4 linked regions of the Arabidopsis thaliana genome follow. The protein of the gene in region 3 interacts with the protein of the main gene of each other region in a pairwise test. Each region holds a gene or a part of one and is shown on either strand. Other genes may lie near its edges.

Region 1 (5,329 bases), on a different chromosome or scaffold from region 3:
AAGAAACTAAGTTGAGACAGAACATCGAGAAGGAGAATTGGGTCCAAAGTAATGGTTGTTGGTCCAAAGAAGAAGATTTAGTAAATTGTGAAGTGAGATCAACAAAAGAAGAAGAAGAGTGTGGAAGCTGCGATGATTCGAGCCCTGTCTCGGTTCTTGATTATGACCGGTATGCTGGTGTTCGAGTAACTCCATCACCAGGTTGGTAATTCTTCAGTATTGAAAATTGAAATGTCCTTTCTTGTGTTATTAAAGCATACTTGTTTCCTTGTAACAGGAAACATTTCAAGAAGACGGTTGTCTTCAGAACTTGAATCTAGTAAGCTCAATGAAACGATTGAACAAGATCACATCACATTGACAAGTAGATCAAAAGACCAAGAAATCCGACTTCATGGCTACCAAGAGATGTGGCTCATGATCTGCAAACTCACTGTATCTGACCTTGAAGGTTCAGATTGGTTTAACGGAAAAGCTTTAAAGCTCGAAGATATAGAAGGAATCATAAGCGAAGATATAGTCTCAAACATCTTAGATCAACTCTTAGAAGAAACAATTACAACACTTTCCCTAACTTCACAAGTGTAAATACATTTCTGTATTCCAATTATATTATTACTAAAAAACATATATATTCAGCGTGAGAGTGTTACCAAGAAAAAAAAAAATCGATTACTCATTGTGAATAGTAAAGAATCAAGGAAGTGAGGTGAGGTAATTCAAGGTTTCTTAGGTTTTGAAACCTTTTTTCACCTCTGTTTTTCTTTGGAGACAGAGAGAGAGACAAACGAACTCTCTTTTGTCCCCTAAGAATTTTTTCTTTTTATTCTAAAGAAAAATAACAAAGCATTAAACAAATAAAATGAAATAGATTAGCATCGACCTCTCGGAATCTTTCTGACTTTGCTTCTTGTGGAACGGTTAATGAAAGTTCAAAACTTTTGATTCAAGCCACGGTCTGTTCTGTCTCCATGTATGATTGCTCCATCCAAACCGGAGCTAGTCTTGTCTCCTGTGGCTCTTTCACCAGCGGCTCCACCCATGAGACATCTGGCTCTTCGAGCCCAGTCCCTTCGTTAGGCAGTCTTGATTCCATGCCACCGGCTCTGAGACGGAAAGAAGTGGATTTTCTGAGCTTCTGTAGCTCGTCTCCTTGGACGCTCCAGTCAAGCTTCCCATCCAATGAGCCCCAATCGTTTAAACAAGTTGTAGTCATGGAAGAGATTGCGGGATGGTGATTCAGTCCGTTGTTGCGTTCTATGAAGCTTTGGCTTCGCTGTTTAGCAAATTCAGCCGCTCTTGAAGCCAAGACTGCGGAGGAATCCATCGAAAACAGAGAATTGGCTCCCACAGGTGATGAAGAAAGACTGTTGGAATGCAGCTGCGGGTTAATGACGCTGCGTCGGATCTGCAAACCCGATGTATTATCCTCTGTCCCAAACATATCACTGAGACTATTCACCGGGCTCATTGCTCCTCCTGCAAGCCTGTTCATGCCCTTTCCGGAGAATGGAGATGACATTGGCGTGTTGTTCCATGTAGTTGGAGAAGTAAGACTTTGCATCTCTTCAGAGAAATCGATTTCTCTTGCATTCAATGCAGATTTCAATCTGCTCCCTGGAAGCTGCAATGCAGGAGGGGTTATGTTAGGCCAGTTCATCCACGTTTTTCCTCCACCTATTGGAGAGGATACACCGTTAGGACTCAAAGGAGGTGTGGTTGTTGCTCCGATAGGAAGCGGACTAATCGGTCCCATGTCGAAAGCGGTCGAGGAATTGCAAGATGAGAAGGAAGACCGCGGGGACGGAACACCTGATCCAGTTGAAGGGTACAAAGGACGCAGCTCCTCGGGTTTGTGGGCAAAGAAACAAACTCTTCTCGAGCAATTCGTCTCGTCCTTGCAGAGACGAGTCCGGTACTGAGCCGGGTGAAGCCAGCACTCAAAGATACCATGAGCATACTCGCAAGTATCACCTCTGGAACAAGACCCCTTCCGGAATTCAGGACAAGGGACACAACTATAATGGTACTTCCTCGGATCACGCCTCCTTGCGTTCTCACCCGGATGAACAAAGGGACATTCCGTCCAGTCGTGAGAGTATGCTCTAGAGCACGGCTTGATCTTGAAAGCATACATCCGGAACTCATCCGTCCCATATACACCGTTCTTGATATCAGGAAGCGTTGGATCAACCGGATACTCCTTCCTCTCAGACCCCCGAGGAGGCGAAACCTCAACCTCAACCTCAACCTCTGGCTCGCTTTCTTCTTGCCCATTAACTTCATTCAAATCATCATTTCCTTTCAACAAACGCTCCAAAACCTTCATCCTCGCGCTAAAAACCGGACTCAAACAAGGGAAAATCACATCTCCAGGCTTGTTACCATAAGCATCACAAGAATCCGGATTCGCAGAGCCCTTCAGCAGAAGAGTAACAATCTCAAGGCTATTGGCAGACAAGCCAGAGACCGCACAGTGAAGAGCCGTGGCACCATCAGAGCCACAAGAGCGGTTCACGTCAACAAGACCAGTACTAATGATGTAATCAACAACCTCTTTGCTTCCAAACAAGGCAGCAATCATAAGAGGCGTCCTCTCCTCAAAACCCATCTTCTTTGATCCTAATCTCCTCCCATACCACAAACCAGAGCCATCAATGCTCTCAAGACCTTCTTCTTCAACTAGAGACTTAAAACCGGACAAATCATTGCAGGCTGATGATTCTAGCAGAAGAGAGAATTTGAGGTGAGACAGCTCATCAACTCCCATGGCAAAAAAAAGCAACAATCTTTTCCCGCTCTATTGATTTCACTGCAAAAAAAATTGCAGAACAAATTGAAAAGGATGAATCTTTTTTCTTCTGATTAAAATGGTAATATACATAGAACAAAATCATACAAAACAGAAATAAAAACTGCAGAAACGATTAAGCTAAGGAGAGAAGGAAGAGTTTGTTAGTTTGGGATACAAAGTTTCCAACTTTAAAACAAACCAAACCAAAAATAAACACCAACAGATCCATAATTAACCACTTTTGCAACATCGAAAACTAATCATATTGTTAACTCATTTTCCAATCAGCAAAACAATTAAAAACAAACTGCAAACTCTAAAACAAATCGACATATATGGATTCAACTGAAACTAAATTAGTGACTAATCAAATCAAAGAAACAAAGAGTAAAGATTTTCTACCTCTGAGTCACAGAGACAAACTCTCTCTTTTCTCGACCACCACTACCAAAAAACCGCTCTTCACTTCCTTTAAACGAGTACTCAATTAGTCAATTTATTGAAAAAACAAATCCGAATTTTTTTTCTTCTTCCTCAAATTATGTTTTTTTTCTTCTTCTTCCTCTCCTTGTCACTTTCTTCTTAAGGTCAAAATAATAGAAGTTTTTAAAAAAATGAAGAAGCTTACTCTAAATAATAAAACAAAACCACCATCTCCATCATTCTTCTTCTACTTCTCTCTCGTCTTTTTTATTTCTATTTATTTATTTTACTTTCAATTTTAATTTGTAAAGTCTGAAGGAAATGAAGGTGTACGTTAGACTTCACACAGAGGATCTTCGCTCATCGGTTTTGTCACGCTTCACGCGTTTTTCCGGTTTTTGGTGGGATGACGTGGAAACCATGCATCGTCAGCATGTTTTTAAAATGAGCTACTTACTTTTCTTCTCCATTCACGAGCTAAAGATAAAACCACTGCCTGTTACCTAGAGTTATATAACCAATTAACCATAGCTTTTTAATTGGTTTGTCACCGCCCCAGAATAATCTCAACATGCACCAAAACACAGAATCGGAACCGTCTCGAGTGGGTTTCGCTTGATAGCAACTCTCTTTTGTCATAGCTTTGATTTGAGTTATATTCATCAAAATTAATTATCATAAAGTTTAAAGATAATTGAGATAATTATTATAAAGTCGAGAAATTGACGTTTATGTTCAGTTTTTTTCGGTCGACAATTCCAACAAAAAGACGATTAGGTAATACAAATATCCTAAGAGACTAAAATAATGTGTATTTAAATTCGGTAATGGAAAGAATTCGAACAAACCTTACCAAACTTTGTATTTTCTGTCGCTATGCTTGTATTATTATATTAAAAGATAGTGATTCGTGATCCATGACAATGTTGTACTACTATATAAAAGTAGTCATAAATTGCAAATGTATAATAATATTTTTTTGAAAACGACTACTGTTTTGTATTGCAACCAGACCAAATCCAAATGCATGCAACCGAACCCATCAATGCTTTTTGCAGCGGCATTAACGAAGCTGCTCCACTGGCTCTCTCTCACATCATAACACAAAGCCATTTATTTTCTCTTCTTCTAATTTACAGTTCTAATAAATAAGTAAAGTCATAATATTAATATGATAGTGCAAATACTGTATATATACACGACAAATTATTAATTTTTAGATAATTATATCCTGTTTCTTAACATAAACACTGTTGATTCCCAATGTCAAATCAATATTTAAAAATTTGTTATAAGTCAGTCACTCAAAAGACAATGGTATGAAAAATGCTGAAAACAGACGGTCAAGATCTTGTATTCACGATGAGATATATTGTTAGGTTAATTTTGATATAAAGCGAAATAAAAAGGGAAAAAAGGTAGAAAAGTCTAAGTGTACAATTAGGAAAAGGACCCACAAGAATCCATAATCTGACTAGAATGAATGGAATAAGAAGCATGTGGGACCAACTGAAAGCGACTAAGCATTGCTATTTGCTATTTTATCAGCCGACGTCGCTGCGACAAAACCCCAAATGGCAGAGCCTTATTGGACAGACCATATTGACTTTTATGGTCCTAAATGCAGTGAATTATCTCTCTTCGACTTGGCGCCAAGCACTTCTGGGCCAGAAATACCGATGCGGGGCTATACGAGGATAATGATCTGTTTCAAAGCCCATAATTAAAGACCTAGGTTTGGCCCATTAGTCTATCTTCTTGATTTAAAAGAAGGAAGCCAATTTCTTCTTCATGGACGTAAATAAAAAGAACTGGTAACTAATGAGATAGTATCTTACTATCTTCACAAGTAAAAGTCATATGGTGAATCCGAAGAAAGAATGTCGTATTCATGAGCTATATCTGAGAAGAGTGAAAAACAGAGTCAAAGTCAAAGAGTGATGAGCAAGCTTTAATAGTACGAAAGTAGAAGAAATAAAGAAATAAGAGGGTGAAATGGGTAAATTTTGGATTTTTAATTAGGAAATAGTGCAAATTGACCAAAATTAAAAATCTCCACTCTTTTCGCGTGTATCAACCAAAAAACAACATCAATGTCCTTTAGTTTTAATT
Region 2 (6,190 bases), on a different chromosome or scaffold from region 3:
ATACACTGGCAGAGCCGGTTAAACCGACGATTTGGTATATATCAGCGACCTTGTTGTTCTTTAGTTTCTTTGTATTTTGTTCATATACACAATATCGTGTACGCTTTGTAATCATTGGCAACAACTATCAACAACTAAATTATAAATATTTAGTAATCATTGACAGTAACTTGTGGTAGGTTATACTCATACCGATTTAGTTGTGGTTGACAATAACAAATTTCACTGATTCATCGCTAATTAAAATTTAAAATACTAAAAGAAATCAGCTTAGTTACTACAATTGTTTCATATATATATATATATATATATATATATATATATATATATATATATATATATATATATATATATAATAATTGAGCTAACAACTACAAAATCGAACAATCATTGTTATGGTCTTTGACAACTGCGAAACGAACAATAAATCTAATACAGTACTGATCCTTGTCGTTGTTATATTTGATACCTCTCATGATATCTTATTCAGTAGATATAACAAAAAATGTTACTCATATAGTCATATTATATAGTTACATTGTAATATATTAATATATCATACAGGCATGCATGTTCTTTTTTAACATAATATATATTTAAGATGTATACATATACAGAGTATGATTCATAAGAAGTAGGAAAAATAAAACCTACACCCCTCGTTCTTAACATAGAAGAAAAAAAAACGATAGCCAAAATCGTGTAAACCTGTAAAAAAAAAACCTATAATAGCTCTCTCTCTCTCTCAGTGATCTCCATATCATTCATATATAATGTACACCAAAAAAAAACTTAAGATACGCATAATGTATAATATGTGTGTGTAATATATAATAAGATAACATATAATAATGGTAGTAAAATTAGTTTGTAGAGAAAGTGGTGCAAGACTGAGGAAGCTGTGGCGAATCTCCGTTACTACTCCCTCCACTTTTTGCATCAACCTTGTTATCATTAATATCAGTATTATTATTGTTGTCGTTATTACCTCCTCCGATAATGTTTGAGATCGCGGCCGCAAGTGCCGCCGTGAAGTTCGGATCCATCGCAATCGCAGCCCTAACTGAATCGACCATTTCACGTGGTGGGGCTTGTGGGCCAAACAAATTAGGTATTAATAACTGCTGGTTATTATTATTCATAGACCTAATTTGATTAGCGTTTGGTAAAAACGCGGCGGGACCATACTGGCTTAGAAACTGCGGTGGCGGTTGTAGCGGTCGAGGTGGGTTGGTGAGGTCTAAGGTTATGGTGGGGAAAGGAGCTGAGGCAGAGAGTGTTGCGATTGTGGAGGTGTATGGGAAGTTATGGTAGAAGGATGATGATGACGTGGCGGAGGGGCTAGAGAGTGTTTGGTGGAGGTTGCTGGAGGAGGAGCCTGATAAGAGCATGGCTGCTGCGGCGGAGGTGGTTGCAGCCATGGCTGTGGCTGACGGGGGAAGAGGATGGTTATGGTTTCCTTCGTACGTTGTTGTCAAGATAGTTGTATCCTCCGCGCATCGTTGGACCTATTTACATTCAAATAAACATTTTAAATCATTTTGTTACGTAAAACAATAAAGTTTTCTTTAAGAATAAATATGTCGCATTCTAGTTTTGGTTTTTCATAAGTAAAAGATTTTGTTAGAAAGGGATTTAGTAAAGCCTTTCTAAATTTAGAATTATTTTCTATACTCTTCTTAAAACTTTCTAAATCTGTTGTATGAAGGACTTTAATAAGGTTTTATGGTATTGCTCTAAATCAATACTTCTAAAGGATACGTAATATAATCGGTTATATTAGTGTTGTTATTATGTCAATTTTTATATTCAAAGCTACATGTTGACGAAAAGAACCAATACTATATACGTTAATCAATACAAAATTCTAATACCAAATTTTTTTTTCTATAATTATGATAACATTTTCTCATATATATAGTTATACTAACCTGTTTACGGACAGGACATCCAACGGCCATGGTGCAACGATAATAAGCGCGAGGACATGGATTCCCTTTCGCCATTTTCTGACCGTATTTTCTCCATTGACATCCGTCATTTACCTATATTATATATTAATATTGATTCAATTTTCATAACTCATATATATATGTAAGGTTAAACGAATCAAAAAAATTAGTAACTTATAGAAAGTTACCGTAGTGGCATCAGATCTAGCTCTAACGGAAACCCTAGCTTTTCTATAGGGTAATTGATCATGAGGGTTTTGTTGTTCTTCATGATTAGTACTCTTGTTTTGGTCTATTCGAGGAGTTTTTGGTGATCCTCGGTGCATATCACGACCATCCACGTCGTCTGGAGACCGTCGTTTCAAGGTGGTGGCCGGAGTTTCATGGTTCATATCCTTTGGTCTTCTGTTCTCTAGAGCTTGTGAGGAACCAGCTTGAGGTACATCCTTTTTGCCAAACAAAAATTTGCAAGAAAGATGTGTCAGTTTTATAAGAAAATTGAAAGAAAAAGACGTTGAAATTTACCCAAAATCATACCGTAGTATCGGTAATTAATTTGATCAAGTAACCTCATAATATATATAGTACCGATAGACCCAAAGACAAGATAATAAATATAAACACACACATAATAATAGACATTTGATAACCTACCACATATGCATTCACATATGGACGTATTAAACTATTAAAATTCTAAGGCAAAGACTCATATATGATGCATCTACAGATTGTGGACAAACAAAATATGATGCATATACAGGAACATACCTAACTATAAACAAATAACTTATCGTTTGTAGCTTCTGAAAACAAAAGGTTTTTTCTAGTTTGAAATATCTTAGTCCGAAATTTGATTTTCCATTTAATATTAAGTTATGAAACATTTTTTTCTTGACCAAGTCATTGGCTAGCTATTTATTTCATCTTCTTCATATTTTATCAAATAAAAGCTGCACGTATTTATTCGTCTTATGACTTTCAATCTGGGCATTTAAGATGAAAATTATGAATTCATTACATAACTAAACTACATCCATTATTTACGCATATTACACATAGTTTTAAAATTTTAATTGCTTTCGAGAAAAACAAAACTAATAGATCACTTTAAATTTTCAAAACCAGATAAATCGAACACTAAAACCTAAGCTAATCTCGGTGCCACATAAAAAAGACAAATATACAATTTATTTTTTAATAAACCGAAATGTTGATATATATTTTATTATCATTTTTATGATTTTATCAAGTACCTCATGTTGTTTATGATGAAGACCTTCCACTTGTGTTTGTCTTGCTAACAAAACTCTTCTTTGGAGGTCGTTGTAACTCTCACTGACCTCATCTAATAAATGCTTCAGTTTGTGATTCTCCTCGTGAAGCCTCTCTAGCTCCAACTTCAGTCTACTAATCTGCAAATTGTTTAATAATCATAACCGTAACTATAAAAGTATAAATCAAACAATTTTTTTTTTCATTAAAAACAACCTACAGTTTTATATACGGAACTAAATTAAAGATTACAAAAAAGAAAAGAATTAAATATGTGTATATACATAAATGAATATGCGCATTTAGATAAACTCACATGATCGGGTAATCAAGTGTGTGTGTGTGTCCACACAACAAAAATTACCATCCGATTATTTTGTTGACAAATACAAATAGTTTTTTTTTTAAGTAACAAATACAAATAGTTTGTATATAAGTGAATTATTCTTAATACAAACACTGAAATTATGTTACCACAGGATACTCTGAAATTCTATCAAAGAGAAAAAATAACAATTTAGAAATACTTACTTGAGTTTTGGTTTTGTCATCGCCATCATTGCTTGATGTTCCATGACATGAATTTACCAAACCTAATCCATCCTATTATGCCATGAATTTTATGTAATTAAGTTATAACGTCCAAACATATATTTGTATTCATATCTATAATTTAAAAACTTACATTAAAACCAGATGATCCAACGATCGTCGTTGTTCTCACATGACCAAGATCAAACGGCTGACTTTTAGCAGCGAAGAAATCAACTTCTTTGATAGACGACTCGTGATGACGTTCCACCGGAGACTCGTTCGGTTGATGATCCTTTGAGTCAGAATCTCCGTGGAGAAATTCTCCTGAGTGTAAGAACGCAATTTCACGGCGATCTTGAATATGTTCTTCCATTTGCAGACAAAGAGAGATAGATAGAGATAGAGAGAAGAAAAAGAAAAAAAAGAGAGTCCCTTTATATAAAGACTAAATTTATGAGGATAAGTTGTGTAAAGTCTTAGCTAAAGGTTTCCATTTTCAACGAGAAATCACTCTTTTGTCAAATGTTACACATACAAATAAATGACCAAGCAACTGTTGGGAATATTATATTAGAAGGTTGGTAATTTCCGAAATTGCATAATGATTTAGTTTATACTAATTACGTAAATTATGCGAAAATGCCAATTTTATCTAATCAATTCTTATGACATACATAAAACGAAAATTTACAGCGTTGCATTTAAAATTTATATTTGATATTTATATTTTATGTGCTCAAACATTTGATATATATGTTGAAAATTATTTATGATAAGTATCAGTCTGACTCTTTCTTTTGCCTTTTAAAATAGGAAGATCTTGAGTGGTTCTTAAATGTCAGATTTGATCTCAATATTATAAGTATGTCTTTATTGTTATTTTGTTTTCTTTCTAATTTTGTTTAGAACTGGTATAAAATTTGGATACTTGCAGCCAGAATATAATTGAGAAAATGCCTTGAGATGGATAAATTCCTCGATATATAGCGTCATAAATGTACACGTGTTAAATAACCAGGGTAAGATAGAAAAAAGTGACGTGTAAATCGGCGATAAATGTCGAGCGGAATTAATTTAATTGTTAACAGTGACGGATTTCCGTTAAGTGGCCGTTAGTAAGAAAGTTGACGGAGAAAGACGACGTGAGTGAGACTCAGTAAAAGACGAGCAGCGTTGTCCTGAAGTCAACGGAGTTGACGGCACGGCATAACGGTGGCACTAAAGGACGGTGAAGAAACGTTAAAGAGAGTGGGACCCACACAAGGAAGAATGGGACCCACATAGGGAAGAAAAAGAACCTAATCTCTCCAACTTGGACCATTCATTGAAACCGGAGCTAACTACCAAAGTCTTAAACTCGTCATTTATTTTGCCTTTTTCTTAAAAATTTAAAATAGTTAATAATAATACTATAGTTTTTTTTTTCTAAACTAATAATCAGAATTTCTGAATCTGTCATCGTCAACAAGCTCAGTGTAGACCGTCGTGCAAGGTCATTTGAATATATTTATATAGATATCATGATTTTGGGTTAGTTATTTGAGATTCAGATTTGATATCTTTAATGATTCGTTTTATAATTATAAACATAAAATTTATATACTTGTTCAGTAGTCAGTACTATATATACAGAGTCTTAGATTTCACAATATTAGTTTACATATATATATTTATAATGTTATTACGTGATTTTTCCACATTAAAAATGTATATCTGATTATGATAACTTTTCAGGTTTTATTTGGAAATTAATATCATATAAATAATTAATTTCAAAAGAGAACTTGTTTGTTTGTTTTGTTAAATAGCATTTTGGATTTTGTTTTGTTTAAGATATAAACCTGAGAAGAATAAGGTCTTGAATGTTTTGTAGATTTTGTAAGAGTTTTTGGATTTTGTTTTTCAAAAACTTATTTTCATAACAATCAAGATTTTAAAATTTTGGTTTCCCTACAATTTGAAAAACTATTTTGTTGTAATTTTCCATTCATGATTTTAGTTTTTTAGTTTTTCTAAAATTTAGGGAATCTAGTTTTTACTCCATCAACGTTATTTTTCTCAAAAACTAAAAACTAATTTTTTGAAGTTTTTAAAACAAAAATATATTAACAAAAATCTAAAACTAAAATCTAAAATCTAGAAACTAAAATCAAAATCCAAAAACTGAATCGAAAATCAGCATCCATTCAGGGCCTAAATCTTTTGGTTGGAAATTGACATATAAATCTCTTTAGTTAGATCAACATTTTAGCTAAGGATATATTTTACCAGATTTGGACCATCCTAAAGGCTACTATATTTATTGGCGCTGAAATATTTGCTCCTTGATTGTTTATTCTGGAGAAAACTTTTTTCTTAGAGCATTAATACAACAAGACTCACTAAAAATACAATAACTTTTGGTAAAATTAAATCGAGGTCTTATAATT
Region 3 (4,017 bases):
ACAACAACCTTTCAAAATCCGAAAAACCCATACATTTATCCACGTTATATATTATTTTAAAAACTCATATTCAAAACCAAAACTAATTTTTTTCCTTTTTTTTTAACCCAACCAAAACTATACAAAAGAACAATTCAATTTAAATTTTTCTTTTATATCTACAACATGGAAAGAATTACAAGAAAGAAGGGCATGTGTGGGTCCGCGTGACATGAGAGAGATACATAGGTAAGAAGCTTGAAGAGTTGGAAAAACGGTTTGAAGAGAAGAAACAAATGCAATGTGTGTGTGAGATTTGGTGAGCATGTTTCATGTTTGGCCTTTCTGTTGCACAATCTCTGCCTCAATTTTGGCAGTTCCTCTTCTCTTAATTACGCATCTTCGTCTCTTTCTCCAACTCCTAGAAACTCCACTCTTTTTAATTTCCCTTCTCTCTCTCTCTCTCTCGTTGTTATTCTCAACACGTCTTTAGCAATATTTCACGTCACTTCATCATAAAAGAATCAACTTTTTAAAACCAATCTCTCTTTGTTAAATATTTCTGAACGAGTACTACTAAAAACAATGACTTATCAAATGTTACACTAGACAACCAAGTGCCAACAACAACAATCTACAGTTTAGTAATTAACGTAAACGCAAGGACAAAGGCTAGGATCTGGTTTGTTTGTTTTCTAGCTACTAAAGCTAAATGCTATTTTTTTTGTAACCAAATTTAACCACTGTCGTTATCTGATTAACACCAATTTGTTCAACATTCACGCCGTCCCCAAGCCAAGAAAATCGAAAAAATGTGGTTGCTGCTTAGCCTTTTCGAACACCTCCTCATCTACCGCGTCCATTCCGATCCAATGCATTGCATCATTTGGCTCCGGTTTCTCTTGGTTACTAGGGTCAATGTGCGGAATATTGCATAACGCGTCTGACGTGGCACCAACGTTATCGCCGACCATCATTTGGTTGCCAAACATACTCACAACCATCGGAGGTTCATTGTTCTCATAACCTGAACGTTGTAGATATAACAAAAACCAAAAAAGAGTTCAAAATATGCAAAAGACAATTGAAAAAACTATTGAAAGAGGAGGAAGAGCTATAGGCTACCTTGAAAGCAATGGAAAGGCAACACAAGCTGGTTATGGTCACTCGTGATAGGGGCATTATTAACCAGGTGATGAGTCAAATTAAACTCGGGGAAAGGCTGAGCGAAGTAATGATTAGTGGAGATAAAAGAGTGGTAATTAGGGTTAGGGTTAGGATGATGATTATTGGTGAGGTGAGGTTTAAGTGGATTATTACTCATAAGCTTTCTCCTACGGTAAGCAGAAGAGTGTTCTCTATACTTACGAGCCATGACAACATGCCAATGGTTCTTCACTGAATTATCAGTTCTACCAGGGAAAAGCCTCGCAATCATTGCCCATTTGTTACCATAAAGCCTATGTGCTTGCATCAGCCTCTCCTCTTCTTCTTCTGTGAAAGCTCTTCGGTTTATCCTCGGGTCCAATTGGTTAAACCATCGTAGTCTACAGCTCTTCCCTTTAAAAACAATCAAGATTAAGTTAATAAAACTCAAAAAAAATTACGTTAGGACTTAGATTGGACATAGAAGGCTAAAGACCAAGAAAACTAATAAAAACAAAAATTGATTTTATCACCGGATCTTAAGAACTTGACAGATCCAGATGAATCAAACAAACTGGTTTTGATGAAATTTTGAAGATCTATAAGGTTTTGATTTAACTTGCTGTCAAAAGAAATAGAAAATAAATAAGGTTTTGATTTAACTTACCAGATCTTCCTTGAAGCTTTTCAGCTATGAGGTTCCAGTTTTGTGGGCCGTAAATGGAGACAAGCTCTTTGAGTTTAACATCTTCAGCTGGTCTCCAATGTCCTCTCCCCAAGACCGATGGTTTTGAAGACGACGAGGACCAAGACTGACCACTATCTGTTGTCTCCTTCTTACCACTCTCGCTGTTACTGAAATTAGGGTTATTATTATTACTCTCTTCTTCGTGAACCGCTACATCTCCAAGAGGACTCTTCAAGATTTCAAACTCATGACTTGTGTTGCAGTGACGATGATGATGCTGATGAATATTAATGTCGTTGAAAGGGAAGTCCCAAGAAGAAGAAGCTCTTCTTGCGACGATCTCATCCATCCACACTTGTTTTTCCGTTATAAACATGGAGTTAGTGTTGGGAGAAAGGAAGAAGAAGAGAAGTGTTATTGAGAATTAAGAGAGATGTCACGTCAGCTTATAGACATATACCATCGGAGGAGAAAGACTTATGTGAGTGCATTTGCATATTATATATACACGTACGTAAATGTGTGTCATAAATATTATTTTTTAAAAATAATAGAATATCTTTTGTATATAATGGTGTGTTTGTTACGTATGGCTTTAGGTATGTGCGTGTATGTACATGTCGCGACCGTGTTTTCTGACGACTGTTAAAAAGGGTTATGGACCGTCGTCACGGACTAATTCAAACGACAGAGTTCTTTGCATTTATACATTATTATATATATTACATATACACTACTGTAATAAGTAAGTACAAATGTGTATTATCGATATTCGATTTTGCTGTGGACTGTTATACATTTGTTCAGGTGTACCTAGTTTCATAGAAGTTAAAGAGTTTTTCTGATAAATCATTTATTAAATTTAAAAGTAACTAAGATTTGAAGACCAAGTTTTTTTCCATGTCCATAGATTGATAGTAATTGAAAAGTATGCAATAGTTTTATAGTCGTATTAGGGTTCATAATCAAACGATAACATTAATTACGCTGCTTCTCTATGGTTCCTTATACAAATTTCCTACTTTTATGAATAATTAATGTTTATCTTAGTTTGATGTATAAGATAGTATTTCCTCTTTTATTTAATGAAAACCAATGGATTATGACAAAATAAATTAATGTTGGGAGTGTCGACCTAAAAAACAATGAATGTAGAGAATATCTTGGACGAGTCCGAAATGAATCTTACCGTTATTAGGTGAAATTTATCCTCTATTAATCAATGCATGTTTTATAGGTGCAAGGTGAAAATAATAAAAGCTAATGAGATGAAAGAAAAAAAGCTGAAGCAGAACTAACTACCAAAAAAGGATGAAGGCAAAAAGAGAGTTTACCATTGGGGAATGAGTCGGGTCTCTTCTTAGCACAACCAATTCTCAGACAGCTTTTTCTTTCATTTCATTTTGGGTTCCTTAAAATTTACCTCTTTCTCTCTTAATCTCCACTTGTCTTTCATTCCTTTACTTTTTACTACCATTTTTGTTTCTGTGAAACCCTCTCTTATCTTAAAAAATTAACCACAATCTTTTTTCTTCATTCAATTTTTTTCTTAATTAAACATCGCTTCAATATACTCATTTTCTCCTTGTCATGTTGTATCAAATAATCTTGAAATTTTGACTGTTTTATTCTTTGTAGCAGTCTCATGGTTTTTAATAACGAGATATTACAATGCCAATTCAAAAAAACTCTCAACCCTAAATATCCCACATACATGAGGAATGTGGCCGTGTGGAAGTGTGTATAAGTAATGAGAATGAACAGTAAAAATGTAAAGAAATAACTTTTAAGACCTTTTCGTATTTGACCAGAAATCCCAATTGGCAGACGTAACCATTAAATATGGGATAAATACAGATACAAAAGGGGTCTCAGAACTGTACGATCCTCTGCACAGAGATTTAACCGAACGCACTACAAACTCTCTTTCTCTTCGTCATATTTTCTTTTTAATTGGTCAATCACTTTGAAATACACATTAATATTATATATGAAATATGAAATAAAAGGTTGGGTGAAGAAGTATATATGAACTATATAATTTTATGAAACAGAAAGTTATGCAGCTTTATTTAATTTTATATTTTGCAGAACAAACATTTATAAAAATTGTAATCAGTTTTTTTTTACCGTTTAAAATGAAATGATGAAATAAAATATGGTGAAACACACTATTAATTATGTTTGTTTGTAAGTAGAGCCAC
Region 4 (4,212 bases), on a different chromosome or scaffold from region 3:
GGAGTTTGCAGTACCAACTGAACCAGGAGAGAAGTCGTATACACTCTACTTCATGTGTGATTCTTACTTTGGTTGTGACCAGGAGTAGTCTTACTGGTGATATCAAAGATTCTGACGCTGCAGATCACATGGAAGAATAATTTATGTTTTCTGCTTAGTTTTCGAGTCTTTCTTTGTTCTTCTGGTCATAATTTTCGCATTTAGCTACCGTAGTTGATCTTACCTTTTGTAGTACAACATTTGATTAGTAGATTCTGCATTGTAATAATGAAATAAGAACAAATCGAGTACTATTTTATTACTTAGAATTTTGTTGGAAGCAGATGCTTTTCTCGAGAGCTTACATAGACAATTTGGTCTGTTTCGGCTAAAAAATATTCAGACATGACATTGTTTCTTTCTTGTCCTTCTCCCTGCTTTTTAGTCCTATCTACTACACACTTTGTTGCGCCCTATATTGACTTCTTCTCCTTGTTCATACACTTACAGTTAGCTCTGTTGTCGTTTAAAATCTGTGTAAAACCAACAGAAGACTAAATCAATTCAACAGAAGACTAAACAGGCCCCTTTGTTTTTTTTCCACAATGATCAGGAACTTTACCTTATACTGTCTTTGTAAATCTTTGATGTAATCCACAGCTAAATCCAACATATCCGAAGTGTTGGTTTGCTGTTAAAACATAAAGAAAACAACATCATTTAACAATTTGTTTATGATCAAAAGTCATTACAAGGAAGTTCCTGAAAACTGTACCTTGTCCATGTTAGGAACAAGCTCTTGTAACTTCCTCATTCGCTCGCTTATCCGCGTTCTTCTTACCTGACACAATTGACAAGATTTCTTAGGAAAGGCTTTCTGAAAACAAACTAGATTCTGCTTCAAATGGACTTCCATTGATATATGTAAAGATGGCCTTAACTAGGTGAAGTTACCCGTTCAGCGATGCTTCGAGGATGTGTAGCGCAACCACGTTTGGCTCTGATTTTACAAGGAACAGAATCTTGTAGCTGAAGATACTTATCCACTGAAACCATGTCCGAGGCTGTCGATGATGACTTTGGTAGGCTCAAATGATGCGACAGTAACTGCATACGATTCCCGGACTCTCCGTTCTGTAGAAACCCATCAAAAACATCATTAGAAACCACTCCAAGAAATCAACTCCACTTTCAGCTACTGATCAATAACCAAAACAAACCGGTTAGATAACCGAGTTACCTGAGCTCCGAGAAACAATTTTCCATCGTCCTCGGCTTCTCTTTTAAGTGAGGATAAGTTATCAATAAAGCTGGATGGATCATTCCAATGGCTATATGGAAAATTAGTTTCGGGTGCGATTTCAGGTATTTGAGAAAGCATTCCAAGTGAAGAAGGTGGCCTTGAAGAGAGACTGCAATGGCGTCTTAATCCATTGGAATTAGATGGACTCTCTTCATCTTCTTCGTAATTCATCAAATTCCTCATTGAACCATAACCTGCAAATTTGTAAGTATATAGTAAACACTTATTAGATTTGTTGAGTCCAAAGTGCTTTAACTCTATGGTTGACAAAATCAAATCAGATCTTGTCTTAAAATTATTCTCAAGGAACGTAAAACATTCAAAAATCTTGAAGCAAGTGTTAAAACATTCAAAAAAGTTGAATCAAGAAGTACCAAAAACACTTCTGTTATAAATGAAAAAAATATTTCAGACTAAAAAAAGGGGGAAAAACTTTGTAGCAGAGAGCAAAACGGTACCGTTTTGGTCAGAGAGATTAGTAAACATTCCGGCTGGAGAGCTGCTTTGACGGAGAAGATTAGATTCAACTGGTTTGGTGTGATGATTATTGATACCGAGAAACTGATCCAAACCAACCGAGTTCATTATCCCTTTACTCTGCCTCGGGTAATGCGGCGGCAAACCCAGAAAACTCGACGGCTCAAGCTGCGGCGGTGGCGGCAGAGTGGCGGCGTATGAAACAGAGGTGTTCGTTAACGAAACCGGAGACTTATCCTCGAATTTAGGTGAACCCAGATCTCCGTTAACGCCATTAGAGGTCACGAATCTTGAAAGCAACCTATCGGAGTCGAAACCAATCTTGTCGTCGTCAACAAAAGCGGCGAGAACAGAGCTCGGAGCTGATCTAAAACGAAGAAGACCCGACCCGGTGGGATTCGGGTCGTAGAGATGATTATTTGAATCCATTAATCGAATCAATATGTAAAAAAAATGCAACGAAATTTCCTCTGTTTTCTCTTCTTGTAAGCTCTGTCTCGTGACGTTTCAGGAAGAACAAATTTGTAGAAAACCAAATCTTAATAGCTTTCCAACGTCAACCGTTGATATGAATATAAGCTTTTTCTTCTCCCTTGTTAAGTTCTTGTTTGTGTCACTTTTCCCGGGAAAACAAAACTTGAGCTTGAGATGTGAGCAGGTGTAGGATTTGGGAAATATAAAACCTTGAAGGGGAAGTAAAGGAGGTTTCGTCTGAAGATGAAGAAGAGAGAAAGAAGAACGGTGAAGTCTGATGAGAGGAAGAGAGAGATGAAGGTGATGATGAATATTTATCGTCTTTTTGCTTCTGAGTTTCTGCGTCCAACTTTAATTGCTGAAGATAGCGGCGGATCCAAAAGCTTTTTTACCAAAAATTTATTAAAATTGAAAAAGACGTCGTTTTAAGCCGCCTGTGAGGCTGAGTCACGGAAAATGCCTTTTCATATTTTTTTTCAAGAACAATTTTACTACTATTTCTTAAGAATATGAATTTTTCTATATAAAATGTAATTGAGAAAAGAGTAGATTTTAGATGAAAATACATACTTTATACTTGTATACAGGAAGAGCATGTGAAGTAAATTACCTACCTAATCAATTTTGACGAGTATACTGATGGACCCGTGACAAATTATTATTTCTCATCTTATAATCTACATGTATCCATAATATCATTTTATTACGATTCTTGTTTTTTTCTTTGTCTCTGTAAAATATGTGATGTTTCTACCCTAATTTATAACACACGAACAAAAATATCTGTATGTTGGGGACAATGAAATCGCTGGTAGGCCATACGATTACAATTTACAACAAGATGCACCAATCATAAATATTAGTTTCTTTTTTTTTATTGGGTCGGTAGTTTAACAACCAATGTAACAATTTAACACTAGATTCGAAATTTAACGACGTAAGGAAATAATTTTAATACGTTTTAGGGGACATGGATCTAATATGTCATGGTTACGTTACTTCAAATTTGTTTTGTTTAAGTACTCATTATTCAGGAACCAATAATGATGTTAGAGTACTTCATTCATAGTCAGCAATTGTACTGACAAAATCTAATATCCATTCGCATGGTACAACTTAGAATTTAAGAATTAAAGATTGTCCCATCAGAGTATAAAAGTCAGAAGTTAGATGTTAATATAGTTAGACACGAAAACGTACTTGAAATAGAAAGAAAGAAAATTGTCGGAAGTACAGTTTGTTTGTAATAAAAGAGAGATCAAAACTGTTTGAACTTTTTAACCAATATTTACGTACGTACGTAGCTTTCCAAATCCGATTTTAAGGTTCACGGAACCTATACAGTGTACAGCTTACGACACGATCGTGACGGAGGACGTTGACGCCGTTATCACCCATTGGGAACGTAAGTTGGCGACTACTATAATCTGTGTGACATACGGTACACCTGCATGAAAAAGTAAGATTTGAAACTAAACTCTAAAACCTTAGTGGTCGATGGATTATACAGTGACGTGACTCTATGTGAACGATATACACCAGATTACGTCTCCTCTAAATCTCTTTAAATCTTATCTTAGTTTAAACTTTAATAATTCACGAGCGCCGTCTTTTTAAAATCTAAATCCAATAAAGCGACTTGTTCTCTATGGAGTTTTTAGCTATTCAGCCCTTTAATGGAAATTGATTAATTTTTATATTTTCAAAAACCTATTCGTATCGTATCAGTCTGAATTTTTAGCTTTTAGTACAATGTAAGAATTGAAAAAAGAAACCGAACCATTGAGAAGATTGGGGTGGTGAATTTGCTTTGAATGTGAATTTATTCTCTATGGAGTTATTAGCTGTTTCATTCCCTTTTTTATATGGGGACTACGGTTTATGTGCCTGAGGCTCTATATATATTGCATATAGATTGATGACATTGACATAGGCTAAGCTACATAGTCTTAAAACTTCGAGCTGTTTAATAATTAATC

The links.
Region 1: the proteins of MYB117 (region 3) and AT5G58620 interact in a two-hybrid assay, tested with the Arabidopsis thaliana proteins (one large-scale study listed by BioGRID).
Region 2: the proteins of MYB117 (region 3) and WRKY47 interact in a two-hybrid assay, tested with the Arabidopsis thaliana proteins (one large-scale study listed by BioGRID).
Region 4: the proteins of MYB117 (region 3) and FBH4 interact in a two-hybrid assay, tested with the Arabidopsis thaliana proteins (one large-scale study listed by BioGRID).

Annotation. Positions count from the first base shown.
Region 1 is NC_003076.8:23,691,400-23,696,728, reverse strand, and holds AT5G58620 (zinc finger (CCCH-type) family protein), read right to left. Parts: upstream 3,471-5,329; 5' UTR 3,197-3,470; intron 2,813-3,196; 5' UTR 2,771-2,812; coding exon 947-2,770; 3' UTR 589-946; downstream 1-588. Other genes in the region: TRM31 (uncharacterized protein), read left to right, coding at 1-201, 278-588.
Region 2 is NC_003075.7:742,893-749,082, reverse strand, and holds WRKY47 (WRKY family transcription factor), read right to left. Parts: upstream 4,280-6,190; 5' UTR 4,135-4,279; coding exon 3,913-4,134; intron 3,831-3,912; coding exon 3,759-3,830; intron 3,368-3,758; coding exon 3,209-3,367; intron 2,399-3,208; coding exon 2,141-2,398; intron 2,046-2,140; coding exon 1,932-2,045; intron 1,509-1,931; coding exon 864-1,508; 3' UTR 529-863; downstream 1-528. UniProt on the Arabidopsis thaliana protein: Transcription factor. Interacts specifically with the W box (5'-(T)TGAC[CT]-3'), a frequently occurring elicitor-responsive cis-acting element.
Region 3 is NC_003070.9:9,269,205-9,273,221, reverse strand, and holds MYB117 (myb domain protein 117), read right to left. Parts: upstream 2,271-4,017; 5' UTR 2,190-2,270; coding exon 1,793-2,189; intron 1,540-1,792; coding exon 1,105-1,539; coding exon of another isoform or gene 1,094-1,104; intron 1,007-1,093; coding exon 759-1,006; 3' UTR 509-758; downstream 1-508. UniProt on the Arabidopsis thaliana protein: Probable transcription factor that involved in boundary specification, meristem initiation and maintenance, and organ patterning.
Region 4 is NC_003071.7:17,610,976-17,615,187, forward strand, and holds FBH4 (basic helix-loop-helix (bHLH) DNA-binding superfamily protein), read right to left. Parts: upstream 2,617-4,212; 5' UTR 2,189-2,616; coding exon 1,741-2,188; intron 1,477-1,740; coding exon 1,220-1,476; intron 1,114-1,219; coding exon 934-1,113; coding exon of another isoform or gene 916-933; exon of another isoform or gene 821-915; coding exon 755-820; intron 671-754; coding exon 539-670; downstream 1-538.